Linked DNA regions of Styela clava. The protein of the gene in region 1 interacts with the protein of each later gene in a pairwise test. Links are inferred from orthologs where the notes say so. Each region holds a gene or a part of one and is shown in the gene's direction. Other genes may lie near its edges.

What was found.
Region 2: the proteins of kinesin-like protein KIF1B (region 1) and liprin-alpha-1-like interact in binary tests that used the Caenorhabditis elegans proteins (3 or more experiments, as listed by UniProt). The link is inferred for Styela clava from reciprocal best matches to the Caenorhabditis elegans genes unc-104 and syd-2.

Annotation. Positions count from the first base shown.
Region 1 is NC_135257.1:14,555,053-14,564,761, forward strand, and holds the start of kinesin-like protein KIF1B, read left to right. Parts: upstream 1-5,614; 5' UTR 5,615-5,781; coding exon 5,782-5,881; intron 5,882-7,049; coding exon 7,050-7,126; intron 7,127-9,709. UniProt on the Caenorhabditis elegans protein: Motor protein involved in microtubule-associated anterograde transport. Regulates the transport of synaptic vesicle precursors in the axon of DA motor neurons. Regulates the polarized sorting of axonal proteins.
Region 2 is NC_135252.1:6,346,302-6,355,196, forward strand, and holds the start of liprin-alpha-1-like, read left to right. Parts: upstream 1-5,010; 5' UTR 5,011-5,171; coding exon 5,172-5,255; intron 5,256-5,921; coding exon 5,922-5,987; intron 5,988-6,747; coding exon 6,748-6,846; intron 6,847-7,313; coding exon 7,314-7,415; intron 7,416-8,007; coding exon 8,008-8,172; intron 8,173-8,895. UniProt on the Caenorhabditis elegans protein: May play a role in regulating the structure of the neuronal region, called the active zone, from which synaptic vesicles send neurotransmitter signals across the synapse. This may be in association with the liprin-beta protein hlb-1.

The DNA of each region.
Region 1 (9,709 bases):
GTGAAGCATTGTTATGTTTTTTAAGACGTTTGGTGGCGATAGCGAACTGGAGCCTACTGAAAACGGACGAAGAAGATGATAAAGAACAACTGTAGTTGATTGGTAGCACAATGTTACTCTGAGATTCTGAGTTTCGGATATGCTAACGAAGAACTAAAAGGCCCTCCATGTGGTTATTTCTGCGATATATTTGGGAACGAATACTCGCGTAGAATTAGATTTGTTTATATGACGAATTATATTATATATTTATAGTGATAATTGTTTACTATTTTTTCCAAGCTCAAAAGCACGAATTTAATATATTTTAAATATGCCTACGTTATCCGTATTGGAGTTGTCAATAGACATTTCATTTAAAGCCGGCTGAGTACCTTTAAGTCAAAGACAACCATGTTGAACAATAAATATTGCTCCAAGCTTAAAGAAGTGATTTAGAAAACAAAAACAATGATAATAAATTATTTCGATACTTAATCTCTGACGACCTACATTAAGTCTACTGTAAAAAAAACAAAAATCAAAAACATTGAGGATTGATCATTTCAATAAGTGTCTAGTCATCTCTGAACTGATTCATCTGTTTCTGATCGTATTATTTTTCAAGAGAACACCACGTCAGCATTTTCAATAGGCCATTGGAAAGCATATTAATTCAATTCGTTTATTACTCCAGACCGCTGTGGTCCATATAAAAACAACACAACAAATAAACATAAGCAAAACGAAAATAACACAATAAATACATAAAATAACTGGTATGACAATCAGATTCACAGTAGTAAGTCTCAAAAAAGAGTTATAATATAGCAATTTAAGAGGGCAAAAGTGAGGTATAGAATCTAAGGTAGCCCGTAACAAACAGTATCGACGGGGATTGTGTGACTTGTTACTAGATTTTAGTTGAACCTAGTTTAGCCTATACATCAGCCTAAAATCTTTAAAGCAGTGTTACATACAATCTTACTCCCGAGCCTATGGTTGAGTAAAACGTTCGCCAACAGATTTACAACAGCATTGCCCACACTCCACGTACATTCAAACAAGAAATGTACATTGTTGTATAAATATAATGTATACAATTTTGGTATCCGATTGCAAATTTCTAGAATCCGTAACCGCAGAAACTGGAACCAAGACCAGGAAAATGAGTATCAAAATAACACACAAAATGATACATTCTTAATATAACACATATATGAATATTTGGGCCAACTTATTAAATCTGCAGTATTTTATGTTACAACCACTATTACTATCCATTACGGCATAAGTTATGCGTTTGATGGATATGGAATACTGTATATAGGCCTATAGGTAAATTAAAATTTAAAATACATCTTATTTTATTTTATTGGGTTTCTTAATATTGTTATAATGTGTGAACTGACATATTAAAAGAAAAGTCACTGATCATTACAATCTTCCGGGATAAATTGTCGTATACAATATGCCATATTATCGAATTAGTGGTTTAAATCCAGGGCTACCCTACTCTTAGCTCACAAAGTATTTTCACCAAGCGCGATTATAACTTTATGGATGGCCGTAAATAGTATTGAATTATTCATAAACTAAAACTGTTGACGTGCCTTTTGGGACTTTCTTGTGCCATTTGAGAAGATCGATATATTTTCGTATCGTAAGTTCGCGGTGTGCTTCTCGCCAGCCACTCTAAAATATTCATGAAGACACTACAGACGGACGGATGTTCGATCCAATTTATTTTTCATTTTAACGTGATAGGCCGCAGACTGGTGCGATTAAAAGAAATTTAGTTAAGAAAACTTAAGGATCAGAGCGCAGTGATCTTCAATGTAATACTTGTAGGCTATATAAGACTTTTTGAGTCAGGGCAGCGTTTGTGGTTATTAAAAAATAATCGAAAACCATCGACAGAAGTTATGAAGCGTAAATGGAATCATCGACCAGCATATAAACTTTATTTCTTGTGTTAGAATCGAAGTTATTTAGTATGTAACATAAACAGTAAAACAAAAGCGGTTTAGGAATCATGGGGATCGGTGGTTGGGGTGTTAATTATGCGTTATGAACGCAGTTGTCAACTTTGAGGGAGCTGACTCTGATGACCGCATGGTCGTATCGCTTCCTCCAGTCTATATAAAAAAAAAAACGTTGTGGGAATTATGTATGAAGGGTTGCTGAAATCATCATGATTGCAATGATTGATAGGTAGTATATATAATATTCTGTAATTTTCACCGCTCTGGAAATACACACAGTTCAAGGAAAATACATGAATCGAATGAAGAAAACTATTCCAAAATGAAAAGATTACAAAAAATAGTTATCGAGTAACGACACCCGTGAAGCCACTGGCTGTTACGACTTCCTCAATGTTCTAAGGCAGGGGTGGGCAACTTCTCTAGTCGGCGGGCCAGATGTGGGAAAATTAAGTCCTCGGCGGGCCGGATTATTACAAAAAATACTTCGGTATCCAATCTTTGTTAAATGCTCGACAGTCTCTGTCAATTTTACGTTTCTTGGGATATTTAATGGTTAATAAAACCTAATATTAATATAAAATCTAATTCCTAAAATCTATTTATATTGAGAATATAAATATAACTGATAACAGTAGTGGGGAATGTTTACAACGCTCTCTGCTTTGACCTTATATTGTTTGTTTACCAAGTGCGCTAAGGCAATGGACCTTTCTCCGAGCATCGACTTCCTTGTTTACTTCGTGACATTCGCCAATCAGCAAGATGCAAAAAGTGACGTAACAATGCTCCCTTTTCGCATCTGCTCAGACAGATTTTCAGGCGTGGTCGTAAACATTACCTCGTTTTCATGTTTTTGAACTCTATTCGTTAGTTTTCAGTTGTGTTTCGGAAATTTAAATAGAAATTAGATAAGTCAATGATTACTCTGTCTTAAGAGTTTTTGATTTAATTGCAGAAATAAAAAAATTAGTGTAGAAATAACTGTGATAGACTAGGCCAAAATTCTTTACCGGTATTTTTAAAAAACATATTGTTGTATGCGATAAATAATAATGATAGTTTCAAACACATACCCCATTTTACAAGCGCCAACTCGCGAAACCACTTTTAAAAGGAGCCCCGACAATTTTGCACAATGGTAAAGACTTTTCACAATGGTAATGATCTTTCGGGGGTCAAAGGTCGGAAGAGAGAGGTCAATTGTTTGTTCATTAAGACAATTGTTTGTTTCCCCAGCTCGCACTGACAGTGTGGTGAGAGTAGAGTGATCGGCAACTTTCAGGAATGATGCGTCGTACCACATTACAGAGTGAGGTTGGATACAGTCGGCGGGCCGGTCAAAATCTCGTCGCGGGCCGGACCCGGCCCGCGGGCCGTATGTTGCCCACCCCTGTTCTAAGGCCATGCATACAAAACAATTAATTTGTTATGTAATGATGATTGACCAAGCATTTCTATTTTCAAGAATAAGTGTGGATTTCCAATTATTATATTCTAAATTCTAAAATGAAAAGGATACTGAATGTAATTGTGAAATGGGGAAAACGGTTACTGTATTTACATAGTAGGTAGCAAAGATGTTGGAGCATTTGGAACTTACAGACTGATCCTCTTAAACAATAAATATCACTATAAATCCTATCCTATGAATAGAAGGAGATTTAAAATTTGCAGCTGTTATCAGTTAATTACTGTGTTTTAACCCATGTATTCTTACAACTGGAGAACTTTGTGTTAATAAATTCCGTGTAATTAAATTCGACTGAAAGCAATTCCAATCATCATTAACTCGTTTGAAACAGTGATAAGTAATTTACTCCCCAAGTTAGCCAGATTCGCTATGCCCTGCTGGTTACGCAAAAGTTGAAGAAATTCTTTGGGAAATCCCCGTACTGCCGCGGGGCTTGTTTGCCGATTTGCCCATGTTGTTTGTTGCTGTTCTGGTCGTGGTATGTTTTCACCTCTGTACTGTACACGCAATACGAATGTAAAAGAACAGTTGTAGGACTAATATCTTATTAAGATATATTAGAGTTAGCATGGTTGAAGAGTTTCGACGCCACTGCTTCGCTGAGGTAAGCTGACACGTAACACCAGAATGCGGTAACATTATCTTGCAATAGCAGAATAAAGTACGGCAAAATAAGAATTAATATTTAGATCGCTTTCATCTGTCCATAGTGAAGATCATATCAAGTTTGATGAACAAGTCAGATTTTATAGTACCTTAGTCTAGTTATTACAGTATAAGACTATTTACAGTGTATTTTACTGTATTTTGCTGGACAGACTGAAAGACAATTGATACGACTATGTAAGCCTTAAATCTTCAGTTTGGTAACATGTGTGTGCCTAATGTAATCTTCTAGCCAATTCTTTGTTCTAGATGAAGGAATATAATATTGCTGATATGGTACTAAATCAAAAAGAAATCATTCATCAATATGCATATTTTGTAAGGAAAGAATAGAACTGGACTTATTTTTATCTTTATTACCGGTAAATGCTTTTCTTATTTCCTTGAATAATCAATTTTATAAGCATTACATAATTGAACTTTTCAATTCTTGAGCGATATGATGTTACTTTGTGTGACTATTTAAATCTTGTCCCTGGTGGAATCTCTCTCATAATTTTGTTAAATATATTTCCTTTTGTACCTAAATAGTGACGATCTATATCTATGATATTTGTTGCCTACCTGTGACTTTGCTATGGGTACAAAAAGTATAATAATGGAATAGCTTTGATAATGTATATGTTCATATGTAACTAATATTTATATGGGATTCAAGAATACATTTTGTAGTTGAGGTAGATTTTTACTGCTTTTAAATCAACAGTTTCTGTTCAATTTCCTGTGTCACTTAGATTTTTTCAATTTAGTGTATGTTTACTAATACTGAAATATTACTGAGATTATGCATTTCACATTGAGTATTTTTGATTTCGCTTTTTGCAAATTCTAAAAAAAACTAAGAGTAACTCCGTGGCACAATTTGAGCTATACAAAAATATGAAAAATATAAAAGTAACATCCTTCTCAGAGATGCTTCAATCTTCAACTACTCAAAATGTTGAAGGGATATGGTCAGTAGTTGAAGCGAAAGATGATTCCGTCCCAACAATATTAATTATTAACAATTTAGCAAAGTTTTTCTGTTGGTGACATTGGCTTGCTTTTTGATTGTTTATATTGACCCAAGACGAGGTCAAAAGAAGGCAGTCTTAACTAATAGAGATTGATTTAAAACTAAGGCTGCTATCAAGTATTAATTATTTGAGGACTTGAAGTATTTATTAAGGTAATGAGAACAGTAAAACTACATATTGTTAATACACATGATATATGATATTTTTCGGAAATTTTTTTTTTTTTCTGCACTGTGGTTATTCTAAATTCATCTTTACAACTTAATTTAATTCAGTATTATTATTACATACAGACATTTTGAAGAAAATCAATTTTGGAGTTCTTTCATTTGATAGAATCTGTGAATAATTTTTTACTATATTTTCTCCAAATCTCCAACATCAATTTTTTTTGCTTTACAAATTTTAGGGAAAATGTGTAGCCTTTTTAACAATAGGCCACTGCATTAACATTAGTCTCATATTTTAGTTAAACTTACTTACTTTCTTCATTCTTAATATCTTCTCAGAATTAAAATAATAAAATTAGTTAGGAATGATCATTCCAAAATTTTCTGTTAATTTGGTAATTAAATCATAAACACAATATCTCAATGCACAAATGTAGTCAGAAATTTCAACAAATTCACATTTGAACATTGGACTGAAGTAAATCAACAGAATGTCTTCTGTGAAGGTTGCAGTACGTGTCCGACCTTTCAACAGTCGAGAGAAAAGTAGAAATGCAAAATGTATTATTGAGATGAATGAAGCAACAACAAGTGAGTATTATTTACTAAGTGAATATTTTTCACACAAAAAAAGAAGTTTATATAGGCTATTATTAAATGTTAGGCATTGGGGCCTAGGTGCGTCATCACAAAATCAATAATTTTTCAAAAAGTTCCTCAAAAATATTTAAATGAACAATAAAAGGTATTTATTTTTTAATCCATATCTCCTAGTTCGGGGTTATAATAGTTTGTTTCATTAGATAGGACAATGTAAAGAGAGAAGTATTTTAACCGCTTTGATGGTTTGGCTCGGAATATCAGACCCATTGTTTCATCTCATTTGCTTTCATATACTGGTATTTATATATTGCCAAATATTGAAATTAATATTGAACATTGAATTACAATTAAAGTTTGGGAAACCATTAGAAGCTTCAAATGTTTGTTTCTATGTTAAAAAGTTGGAACTAGATTCATCCAAATTTGCACACATTCAATTCAAATCTATGTACCAGGTTCGCATTTCATTTTGTCAAATCAAAGGTGTGATATATTTTCATATTTCCATTACGTCAATGCCATTACAAAATTTTTTTTTCCAATAATATCGTTTAATTATATCTGATCAGAATTTTCTATCATGTATGAACTGTAAATGAAAATTGTTTTATTGACAGTTTGATATTATGGCCCATGATCGAACTTGTTTGATTAAGAAATAGTATTCTGAAATGGATAAGCAACTGGTTGTGTATTGCTTCGTCATTCATGCATTTGGGAATTGTGTTGCAGTGGCAAGCATTATTAATTGACTAAGAATATATACTGTCGTTTTCCGCCTCCCATGAGAATTGCATGATATATGCTTCGATTTCCTCGCCATATGTATCAGCTTTCTCCATTTGATCATTGTTCATAATTAAAGCCTGTGGTTTATGGAAGGTTCTAGATGACAGAATTCCCATGTCTACCATTTAAGCAATAGTCAATATTTATTTATGATTATTTTTTCTTGATCAATAAGTTTCTTCCTTGTATTCTATTTTATTAATTTTACTAATTATTACCCTTTTTCAATTACATGATACTTCTGTGAATTAGGTTGAATAATTTAAATTTCCAATATAGGCTACATGCACTGATTTTTAACATTGTATCGTGAAGTAACAATTTTTATAAAATATATTAATATTATTTGATTTATATTCAATTTCAGTTATAAGAAATCCAAGGCAGCCGGGAGACAATCCAAAAAGTTTCAATTATGATCATTCATATTGGTCATTCGGTGAGGTGGGTATCCAGTATTCTCTTTAATTCTTTTAATTCTTAAGAGCATGAATCATTCCTCTTGAACACAACTATCTCTAACAAGCATGAACTATATATAAATCGAGCCAACTGATGCAGTTTATCATATACCCATATATGAATACATATTCCACCACAGTATGACGTCATTCAATTTTTCGGAGCTGTGTGGCAAGAAAAATGGATTGCCATGAAAAATTCATGGTCTTGCACTGAGGAAAAAAGGTTTTACGTCTAAGTTCTAGAAATATGATATCTGAAAACTGTCAGATATTCTATTTACAATTGTATGTATCCTTATAACTAGGAACTGTGAGTAATAACATGGCATAAATTATGCTGCAACACAGTAATTCTACTAACTTTTTTGTTTATTGCGCACCTGATTTTTCTTCCAAAATTCAAGACGAAATCTTCAGTATCAGTAAAATAAAATTACCGTTTTCACTACTTTTGTCAAAAAAGTCAACAGTTAACACAGTAAATAACACAGAAAAAAAATCAATTTTCAACCTGCTGTGGGCATTCTCATTCAGTGTGGTTGAGAATGCTGCTGTAATAATATACTATAACATCATTACCAGTTCTTTCTAAAAAGCCAAAATCGATGATTGTGAAGTTTTGAGATAATTTAATGAAGTATCAATGCTGAGCGTAACTCCTTATAATTTTTTGATCATTGAAGAATACAAAAAACTAAAGCCAAATTTGCTTTTATTATATCACCATGGAAGCATTTTGATACTGTTTAAAATTTGTATCTTATTTTTGTTTTATAGTAATGTGATAATTATGAAATGCATCTGGTAGATGTATTGTTTGAAGATATATTTATTAAATAATAAAGTTTTTAGGCCATTTTGACATATATCATGATTTTACTGTACATGATAAAGCTTTTACAATGTAAAACAAATTTCTAATGATATTGATAGAAGTTTAAAATGTCCTTTTTTCTAAACAATACTTTATTGTCTTCTAAAGTTCTAATTAATGCCTCAATAAAAGAGAAAAATATCTTATAACAAAAATGATTTTATTAATCTTAGTTAAATTTGTTTTTGACCTGATGCCAATTTAAACATTTTGACCTGATCTATAAAAAGATATTCTGAATTAAAGTTTATGATATCCAGATATGAGAATTGACAGGGCTGATATCTTGATTACCTTCAACACTGCTATGAATAATTTATTACATGGTGTTTCAGACTTATATATAGATTTGAGAACACTTTCAAGTTGAAATTCTCAAGATGATTCCACAACAATTTTCTTTTATATCTTCAATATAATCCGAATCCAGATGATATTTATTTTTATATACTACCATATATATATAACACTATTTATATACTTTTTGTTCTGAGCAAGGCTCTGCACACTTGCATATGCAGACATGAGTAGGTAGTGAGATACTCTAGTTTGGGAAGACCAAAATTTTTTATTCTCAACTCTGCCTACTACTAATTTAGTACACTCGGAGTGAGGTGATGGTCATGGGATCTGAATCCGATTAAGTCCAGCCAGTGGTTCTCAAACGGTGGGGCGCGCCCCACAAAGGGGATGTAGACAATTTTTTGAGGAGCCTCAGAAACTAATTAAAAATAAAAATATTTGTTAGATTTGATCTTGCCCACCTTATTTTGAATATTTACATTTCAAAACTTTTTATTTTTTTTTTCATTATTTACGTTCCTGCCACATATTTTCTGTATGTTTTTTGACTAAAACATACTTTGTCTTACTATATGTTATCTGTAGCTTATTATTATTGGCTACTTATTTTTGAGGTGGGCGCGACACGCGAGACTTGACAAATTCTTAAAAGTGGGCGCGGCTTCGAGAAGCACTGCACTAGGCCATCGCACCCACAATATTTTACGGGCGTTTACCTCGTGCCCAACCATCTCACCTTTTACATAAAGAGTTGACTAAGCTTTGGCAAACTGAAAAATTATAATTCTTGGAAAACTATAGTATATTGTTACACATAAGGTGCTGCATGTTTAAAGCCTTGTTGGCAGGAAAATAACGAACTTGTAATAAAAATGTCAATATGCTATTCTGTAACCATCATCGTTAGTCATCATCTTCATTGTTATAAAGATTATTGCTATCATTCTTATTTTAATACAATAAATCATTAAACTATACTTTTATGAATGTTTACTTAAAGCAAGGTAGGTCACAGTCAGGTATGTTTGCCCGTTTTGATTAATTCAATAAGAATTATCAGGACAAAGAAGAGGTCACAGTGGGCACTTTATTGAGCTTTCATTATTGATTATCATTATCTCATGATAAACTCATTTTTATTAAATACCAACTTACCAAATTTTTATTTGTATTTTTACTCACTTCACTACTCACTTCAACCCATAGCTAGAAGCGTCATTGACAAATATGATAAATGTTCTACTAGCTCTTGGTAATCCATTAGCCAATTTTATTTCGAATAAGTGTATGACAGAGCTAATTTATGTTCCAAATGACATATTTTAGACAGAACATAATTTTTTTGTAAAGCATCCCAGATTACTGCAACTTTTCAGTACAATATTT
Region 2 (8,895 bases), on another chromosome or scaffold:
GTCGGATTGGTGGAACATTGCCGTTTTCTTTTGTAGTACAGTATCTAAAATGAGGAAGAAAATCATATTTGGAACATCATGAGTGTAAAAATAACACTAAATACTAACTAATACCTTGAATACATAATGCATTTTATCTGGTGTACTCAATGAGCGTATATATGCTCATTGCATGTACCACAGTGCAGCAGTGTTTGCATATCATTACTATACTATATCTAGTACACTAAATTTTGATATATCACAGTCTGAAATGCCCTATGACAGTATGAATATGGACTATAGACTATATTTTAAAACATCAACTGTCTGTCTACAACTTGATTTCTCACCTCTCAATCGTTTCCAATGCTACTTCTTTCCACTCCGGCATAACTTTTCATTGCTTCCCAGGTTCTTGTCGACTCTATGAATTTAGATTTAGACCAACCGACATTAGTAAAATTGATTATTTTCTTCTCTTTCACACAACCGTGCATTACAGAAACAGCCATTAATTATTATTTCCAAATATGCTGTGGCCTATATAGTAGTATAAGTCTGTTGAATAGTCAAACATTTTAAAATCATTTTCAGGTAGTTATCTTATGTGCGCTACGAAACTGAAAGATAAATGGCCTCGGCTCGCGGCCTATGTAGCAACATCTTGTTACCGTGGCACCTGCAGCACTCTGAACCTCCCTTTATTTTGGGTGTTGCCTATTCGGACTATTTTATCTGACACGTATAATATTATTGATATCACGAAATGGCCAATATTGACGTAAACCATACGGTCGTGGCGTGATTCTCACGTTACCTCAGGTATTTGAACCTTTTCCTCTCTCATACGTTTCAGATTAATCATCGATTGGGTCGAAAGAAAATTTCGCTATGTACCTGGTCTTATTTTAAGGAAAGGGCTCATATTAAAATTATTTTTAAAATTCAGGCTAGGTCTTAATTTCGGGTAAACACGGTATTTTGTATCGCGCGAAGACCAGACAAATATATTTATCCCGTGGAGAGGAATCCTAATGGTGGAAATGGGGTTAGTTAGCCAGTTATTTGCGTAGACTCGATAACAACAATAAGTGCATAGGTCTACAAGAGTTCAAACTACGTGGAACAAAACCACAAAACAGTGTCTAAGTTCATCACTTTATTCAGTCCAGCAGTTATTGCGTGGGTTTCCATTTCACGACGAACGTCTGAACCCTCGTGCAAACCCACCATGACCTGAGTAAGTAAGTTTATTCGTAACAACAAAACAAATAAACAATACATATCACAAAACAAACGCATATCTGTATATACAAAAACTCAAGAGAGTAGGGAAAATCCAAAAACATGTTCGACGTGCTGATACACGTGCTCACTAACCCCAAACTACAATACACGTTTTAGAAAGATAAAAAATCGAAAGACAATTCGGACGTGAGTACATGAGTGTGGAGTTTTAAAATACAATTTCTACTATAGTGTATACAAAAACATAACAGTAATGTAGTCCACTCGAATAAACAAGCGGTACATAGCATGTGGTAATTGATGTGATTTTGAACGCACAAGACTAATAGTTGACTGTACGCTAAACAACAATAATAGGATGGGATTTACATATTTATCCATGGGGAGAGGAAAGCCGATAAGATGGCTTAATCATATGGCGAACCACGGCCTCTCGTCCGGTTACCAGTCCAGGTCGGGTATGGGATTAGTTAGCCAGTTATTTGTTTTCGGAAGCATGGACTTGATGGTGGAGGAAGCCGTAACCGACCAGCGGTTACGTGAACCACCCTACGGCGGCGAGGAGTCCAGCAATTCCATCGCACATAATCATCCCCGCATGGGATTCGAACCTGCGAACCCACGCAAGGTCATCAGAGATGCAGTGGGGGCACGTTTTCCTAACGCTTAGCACACCGCCGAGAAATAGTAGCAGCGTAAATGTGAACAACAACCAACAAAGTTAAATATACCAAAAACATTCCAAGCCCTGGCCTCCAACTTCAGTTTGAACAGTAGCAATTGAAATTCATGTGCTTTTTAAAACCTGTGCTGTACAAGCAGTCTTTTTCGTGGAGTTCATCATCAAATTTCGCATCCGACGATAGACATAGCATTTAGTTTCTCACTTTACTCTCATTTTTATGATTGCCCTTTACGCCTAAAATCAAAATCTATTCGAATACCTGATAGTTTGCTTGCATGCAAATTTGTAGTCAATTTAAATTACTACCTCTGATTCATTGATTTGGTATTTGGAGATTTGTGTTACCGGTAACAATGCTTTATGGCTCTATTTCATTTTGAATTTATTGGAAGGTATTTGTTGTCCCATTTCTTCTATTCGTCTTTTCAACTTCACTAGACCAGGGCTCGATTTTTCCAATATTGCTCTATCAACAACTTAGTTCAGTCATTTGAATTCATTTATTTTTTATTTGAAAAAAAAGAATGCGAAAGTCTAATTTGAAAAGGTCGTAGATGTAAAATGCCGCTCTCACTCTCTCTATCTATATATATATATATGAATTTTATTACCACAAAAAAATATAAAAAGGACAATAGTGTATAAGGGTTCGGAAACAAACATATCAAATAATTCGAAGAAAGCCTACGACAGAAGTAAAATTCAATAAATCATAACATCAGTGTTAAACTCAGAGACCCAGAACAATTCGCAAATTTTCATTCAACCCGTTCATTTTTAACCTTTACAAATTTTTCAATCTTCCCGATCTTAACCACACGGGGAAAGTTCCACTATTGCAGCGGGATTAAATGAAATATCGATTAAAAACAGCTTTACGTTCAGACTCCGCTCACATCTACTACCTAATTTGGCTGTTTTCAGCTTCTTAAGGGCCTCCTGCTGCCCCGATTTTTCGCTTATTGTATAGCCTTCATACATATCAGGAATAAGTTAACTAACTTGGTACAGGTACCCATTCGTTAATATGGGACTTCACTACCGGTGTTTATTCTGGTCGTTTGATAAAATAATGATTCCTATTTTCAATATATACCGTTTACTCGTCATCTTTCAGTCTTTAGTCTGTTAGTCAGTTTAGCCCAGAAGGCCAGAACCTACCTAGTCTTGTAGTCCAGAGATTCAGCGTGAAATAGGGCTAGTCTAAAACTTTTAATGAAGGTGTTCACCGTTTTGCAGTCTTAGGGCAGGTGAGTCATTAGACTAGGGCAGTACCGGTACCGGTAATAGCACAGTAACTTTATTAGTCTGTGCCGACAGACTGACAGCTTGACTGATGTTTCAGTCCATGGACGTTTTCAGGTTTTGGACCAGAAGTTTCATCCTCACAGGATCCTGGGATATTAATGAAATATTTCTAATGAGTCTGATCGTTGTCGCCCATACGCTCCTTTTCCAGTTTTCAAGCGAATCGCATTTGACACCGTAATATTATTTTTTTTATATTTTTAAGTCAGTGCAGCAGTGAGTGGGCGTCAAACTCAAGAAATGTTAATTTATTACTGATACCTTGGATTATAAGTTATTTGATCAATTTTATTATTTTAGACTAAACCTTTCTATAAATGATATAGTCACAGCGTGTTCATGACGTTTGTGGGCCTGTACGATACATTCAATTTACAGATTTACTGGATAATGTTATATATATCGGTATATATTTGTTTATTTCTGCATGTGAATACAAATATAAAATGGAGAGCCGAAATCAAATAATTTACCATTCCAACTACATTCTAAAATATGGAATATCATGATATATTCTAAATTGGACGATGTTCAACAGAGAACCCATAGAAGTCGATGCATTTTCGATGATTTGAATATTGAACAAATTTAAAGAACTTTTAGGTTATAACGGTAGACTTGAACTGCCCGAATTAGTGATTTTTCAAATTATCTCATCAAAAAAAAAAAATCAAAAATTGCAGAATTGTAAAAATTGAATAAAACTAATTCATGAATTTCTCTTTTATCTTGTATCATTTTCATGCGACAATGGATAAAATCTGAAAGTTTGTAATTTTACCATATATTAGATTTTGCACATGAGCTTAAAACTGAATTGCATTGATATAGAAAAGGTTTTATTTGTAGACGTTTAAGCATTTTGGCCAAAATCATCAGATAATCATCAACATTCAAAAGTTTCAAGAATTTGGTTATGATAATAGTGCAAAATATCTCAAATTGCAATTTAAAATATTATCAAGAAATACTAGCCTATATCAGTATGGCACACTATACAAATCGGGTGACATTGTCCCGTTTCAGAGAAACCCATTTTACAGATGATCAGACACCCCTCCTTTGGGAGGCGTCTGGACATTGTTGTCATTCAATATCGGTAATAATACAGTATAATGAAGTTGCACAAAATACTACAAAAAAGCGCAATCTAGTAACGTCATCATTGAATTCCTTGGGAAAGAATATTCAGATTTACCGAAGGAAAAAATATTTTACCGTAGCATTCAAGAGTTTTTAGCAAAAAACGGCAATTTTGGTCATGTAACGGCCACGATTAATTTAGAATATTATTGAGACAAGCATGGTGCGATATGAAGCATCTGACGTGGTCCCAGAAGCCCCTCGTTTGTGAGACACATGGAGTGTTTGTTTTATTGAGCCAAATGAAGGGAAATTCTTGGAATTTGGATAGTGTGCTGTACTGTATATTGGTACAGTATGTTTCAAATTTAGTATTTTATCTATGTTTGACATGGACCGCGGGACAAATCCGGCCTGTTGGGTGATTCAATCTGACCCGTCTGATGCTGCGAGAAATTTCTGCTTTTCAACCAATTCTGCATTTAGGCCTACTATATAAAACTGTCTATCGTTTCCCGAGAGTTTCTAATGATCTGTTGTTTTGCATTTCTTTTCTGCACCAAGATTCGTTGAAATTAATAGCTAAATTATTACGTCACACTTAGATGGCCCGCTAGTCTGAGTGAGCAAAATTTTTAGTCCATAGTCCAAAAACCTTGCACATCCCTGATCTACGGTAAATGCTTTTTTTTCTGAACAGATACTAGCTAAACTCTATTTTTATTTGTATCTCCATATAATGTGATTACAAGCCAGTACTATCGACTTCTTTTATGCTGTTGTGTAGGTAATAATAGTCAACAGATGCAAATGCACCCAGTTTATTTTCATTTGGGATATCGGTACATTTCAAAAACATATCAAAATGATGTGCGATGTTATGCCCACAATTTCAGAAGATAAAATCAGTCGGGCCGGCTCTTATAACAGTGATGGCGAAGAAGATCAAGTAAGAATGATATTCCAATATTTTGCTTCTTGATAATATGTTGATTATTTTCTCAAATTAAATTGTAATTTTGTTTATTTTGTTATGGTAAACCGTTCCTATTTTTCATGATTAATTTTGATGATTTGTTTTTTTGTGAATTAATATGTTTGTTTGCTAATGTCCTGTGTTTTTAAAATAGATTTTGTTGAATTTTTCTTCGGATTGTCTGTTGTTAAAAGTTTGTTTTTTGAAGATGTAATCACTAAATGATGTTGAAATGTCCTATTGATTTCTTCTTTATTGACAAAATTTCACTTCACTGATTATTTTACTGATATGATAATCTACTGTGGCGTTCTGGACTTTTTGTACTTGTCCCTCCTGGAAAACTAACAAGTCAGTATACCCACCCCTTGACAAATACCAAATACTTTTTTACTTCCCGATATCTTTTCAATGAACCCACTGAATTGAACTGTTCGAAGTCTTGTGCCAATCGGCATATGTTTGTGCGTTATGCACCATCATAATCTTCGTAGTTTCAGGAAATCTTAACATTCCTGTAGTCGCTGTAACTTTGCACAGAGATGACCTTCTCTACTTCTGAATGAATGTGTGTGTGACCTTGCTTTCAACAAATTTGTTTTAGTGAATTTTACACTTTACATTTTTCTTTCTATTCAGACAAACATGGAAAATATGATGGTAACCATACTGGATGAAAGAGATAAACTTCTTGATACTTTACAGGTAAAATGCAAGATGCATCAGAGATACTGGGGTTTTGTCATATTAAACATTTGTAATCTGTAGCCTTAACCAAACTCGAAATAAATTCTATTAGAAAAAATATATTTTTTCAAGAAACAATAAATTGAAGTTGGCATCTTTTTTTGAAATTTTTCCTTTCAACATACTTTTTCGGGGAAACTGAAAATAATATGACAGCTCAACAATAGGACAAACTTTGGTACTCCCGGAGTATGTGAACTAAGATGGCAGACACCGGAACGTAGTATGCATACCAGGTTAGGGTTGGGCAATAATTTTATTCCAATTTTTCTTATTTTAGTTCTATCACGAGTTCGGGGAGTAGCCAAGTGACTCTCGTAGTATTTGTACCTGAAATTATGGCCTAACCCTAACCTGGTACACATACTACATTCTGGTGTACGCCATCTTGGTTCACATACTTCGGGAGTACCCAAATTTTGGCCTCTCATCCAGTTTGATGCCTAGTATGGTAATAGTTACTAGTCAATTGTTTGATATGCGGATACCTGGAGAAAGTCGTAACTGACCAGTGATTATATATGAACCACCTTATGACAGGGAGGAATCAAGTAATCTTCTCACACATACTTCTTTCTCGCTGGATTCAAACTGAGAAACTCAATCAATGTAATCAGTGGTGCGATGGCCGTTGCGTTTTTTACACATATCACAATATATTTGACATTGATAGATTTTGTAATAATTAATTAATCTTGTATTCATGCTAATTCTTTAGAAAACGAAAGATGAACTTGAAGATTCAAAAGCGAAATTGGAAGAGGTTTCACATGAAAGAGACTTTCTCAACAGACAACTGACCAATTCGATGCCATCTGTAAGTAGTTTTTTTACTTATAGGTTTTAATCCAAAAAGGTTAATAAACAACAGTATAAAACAGGAAGAGCCTTTCTTATCTATTATTGCCTATTGTTGCTGTTGACGCATCGGACTGCTACTTGCTGATAAGTGAACAAAAGCTAAATTATACTTTTGTTTTTTCTGCGAGAAGAATTCAACAGAACTTCGGTTGACTAGGCATTCCCAATGGAAAAAGGGAGAATTTGCATACATACGTCAAAGTTTTACAGAGTTAAGAACTGGAGTTTGAATCTGAAATTTTCTCCAAACTAAAGCATTTTATTTTGATTCCGCCCATTCAATAGTCTAATATGTGATTAAAATAACTTAAAAATTTGTATTAATTAGCGTTTAAAAATCAAACCTATCAATGATGTACTATTATATTCTTAAGTTTGAACTTAGATGCTTTATTCATCTGCAATGTATGCATTCTTTATCAGGATTATGCTGCTATGTCTAAAGAGCTCAATCAATCTCGTGATAGAATTTTAGAACATGAGGAAGAAATTTCTGAATTAAAAGCTGAAAGAAATAATACACGGGTATCTATGTATTTGTATTCTCATGATAAGTACTGAATCAATTTTGATGTTTATATGAGGTGGCGCGGCAAGCGCCATTGTTATCAATAAAAAAAAATTTTGTAATAAGTGGTTTGCGTAATTGTAGTGACTGTTTAAAGAGCCTTTGCATGATAATTTTCGATTCTGATTGTAAACCCTTTCCTTTTTGAAAATTCTGATACCTCTGTGACAACAAGTAACTCTGCTTGATGTCATTCATTTTTTCGATATCATGAGTTTCATGAACCTAATATGTTAGTCGTTAAGCTATCAAATTTAGATTTTATTGAAGTCTGGAGAGAGAGCTGGAGTCAAAATTGTTATCACTCAGAAGCCACAGCCAAAGCCATTTTTTGATTGGCACGGATTCGGGTGTAAACTCCACACCCCTGGTACATTGATACCCAATTTGGCTCATAACTAAAAAAGCTAGCAATCTTTATCACATATCATTAATTGTACAGTTTATTGATGGATATATTAGATGTGTTTACTCAGTTATCAGACCAATTTCGTATAGAATAGAAAGTGAGAATAATTCAATGCTCAAGTTTTTGTTAAATTTATTCAGTTGCTGCTGGAACATCTTGAAGCGTTGGTATCTCGTCATGAGCGCTCCCTTCGTATGACAGTCGTCAAACGGCAGCAGCAACAAAGTACCGGTGTGTCAAGTGAAGTTGAGGTTTTGAAAGCTCTCAAATCACTTTTTGAACATCATAAAGCTCTCGATGAGAAGGTGAATGTTGCATGTTGTGATCTCTTGAATGTTCATCATTCTAATGACTTAGATATAGAAAGACTTTCTATTATTATATTTGTCATAATGTAAACACCTTAGCGTGGAAATATGCATGCAATAGTGCAATTGTACAACTCTAATTTCATGATAAGTATATTTTTGTCTAGTTTTCACTATCTAACATAACATTATATACAGTGGTTCCCAAACTGCAACCCGCGGGCCAATTACGACCCACGTAACGATTTAATATGTCCCGCCGAACTTTTGAACACTCCATGTTTTACTTTTTTGCGTTTTAGATACCTCCAATTGTTATATCTCAATTCAAGCATGTGTATTTTCGTAACAATTCAATTATATCGATATCTTAATTATACAAAGGGGTATTAGGGTTACATACGATTTTGCGCCCTTGCAGTCGCTCCCCTCTCCTGACTCGCGAATATTCTTTCGCTTCTAATTTTGCCCCCTGGTCAATCAACTTTGGGAACCACTGTTTTATTAAATTATCATAACCTAGGAATTATGTTAATTGAAAACAATTAATTATTATTGCAAAATATTAGCACAGGCTTTTAACCCAATTGGTGAGAACACACAGACAATATAAACATTATATTTTAAATTTGACGCTGTTATTAGGATTTTGAAAACAAGTACAGATTGATTATGGAACAGTTTCAAAATGATATGAGAGTCTCCTTAACATATCACAGT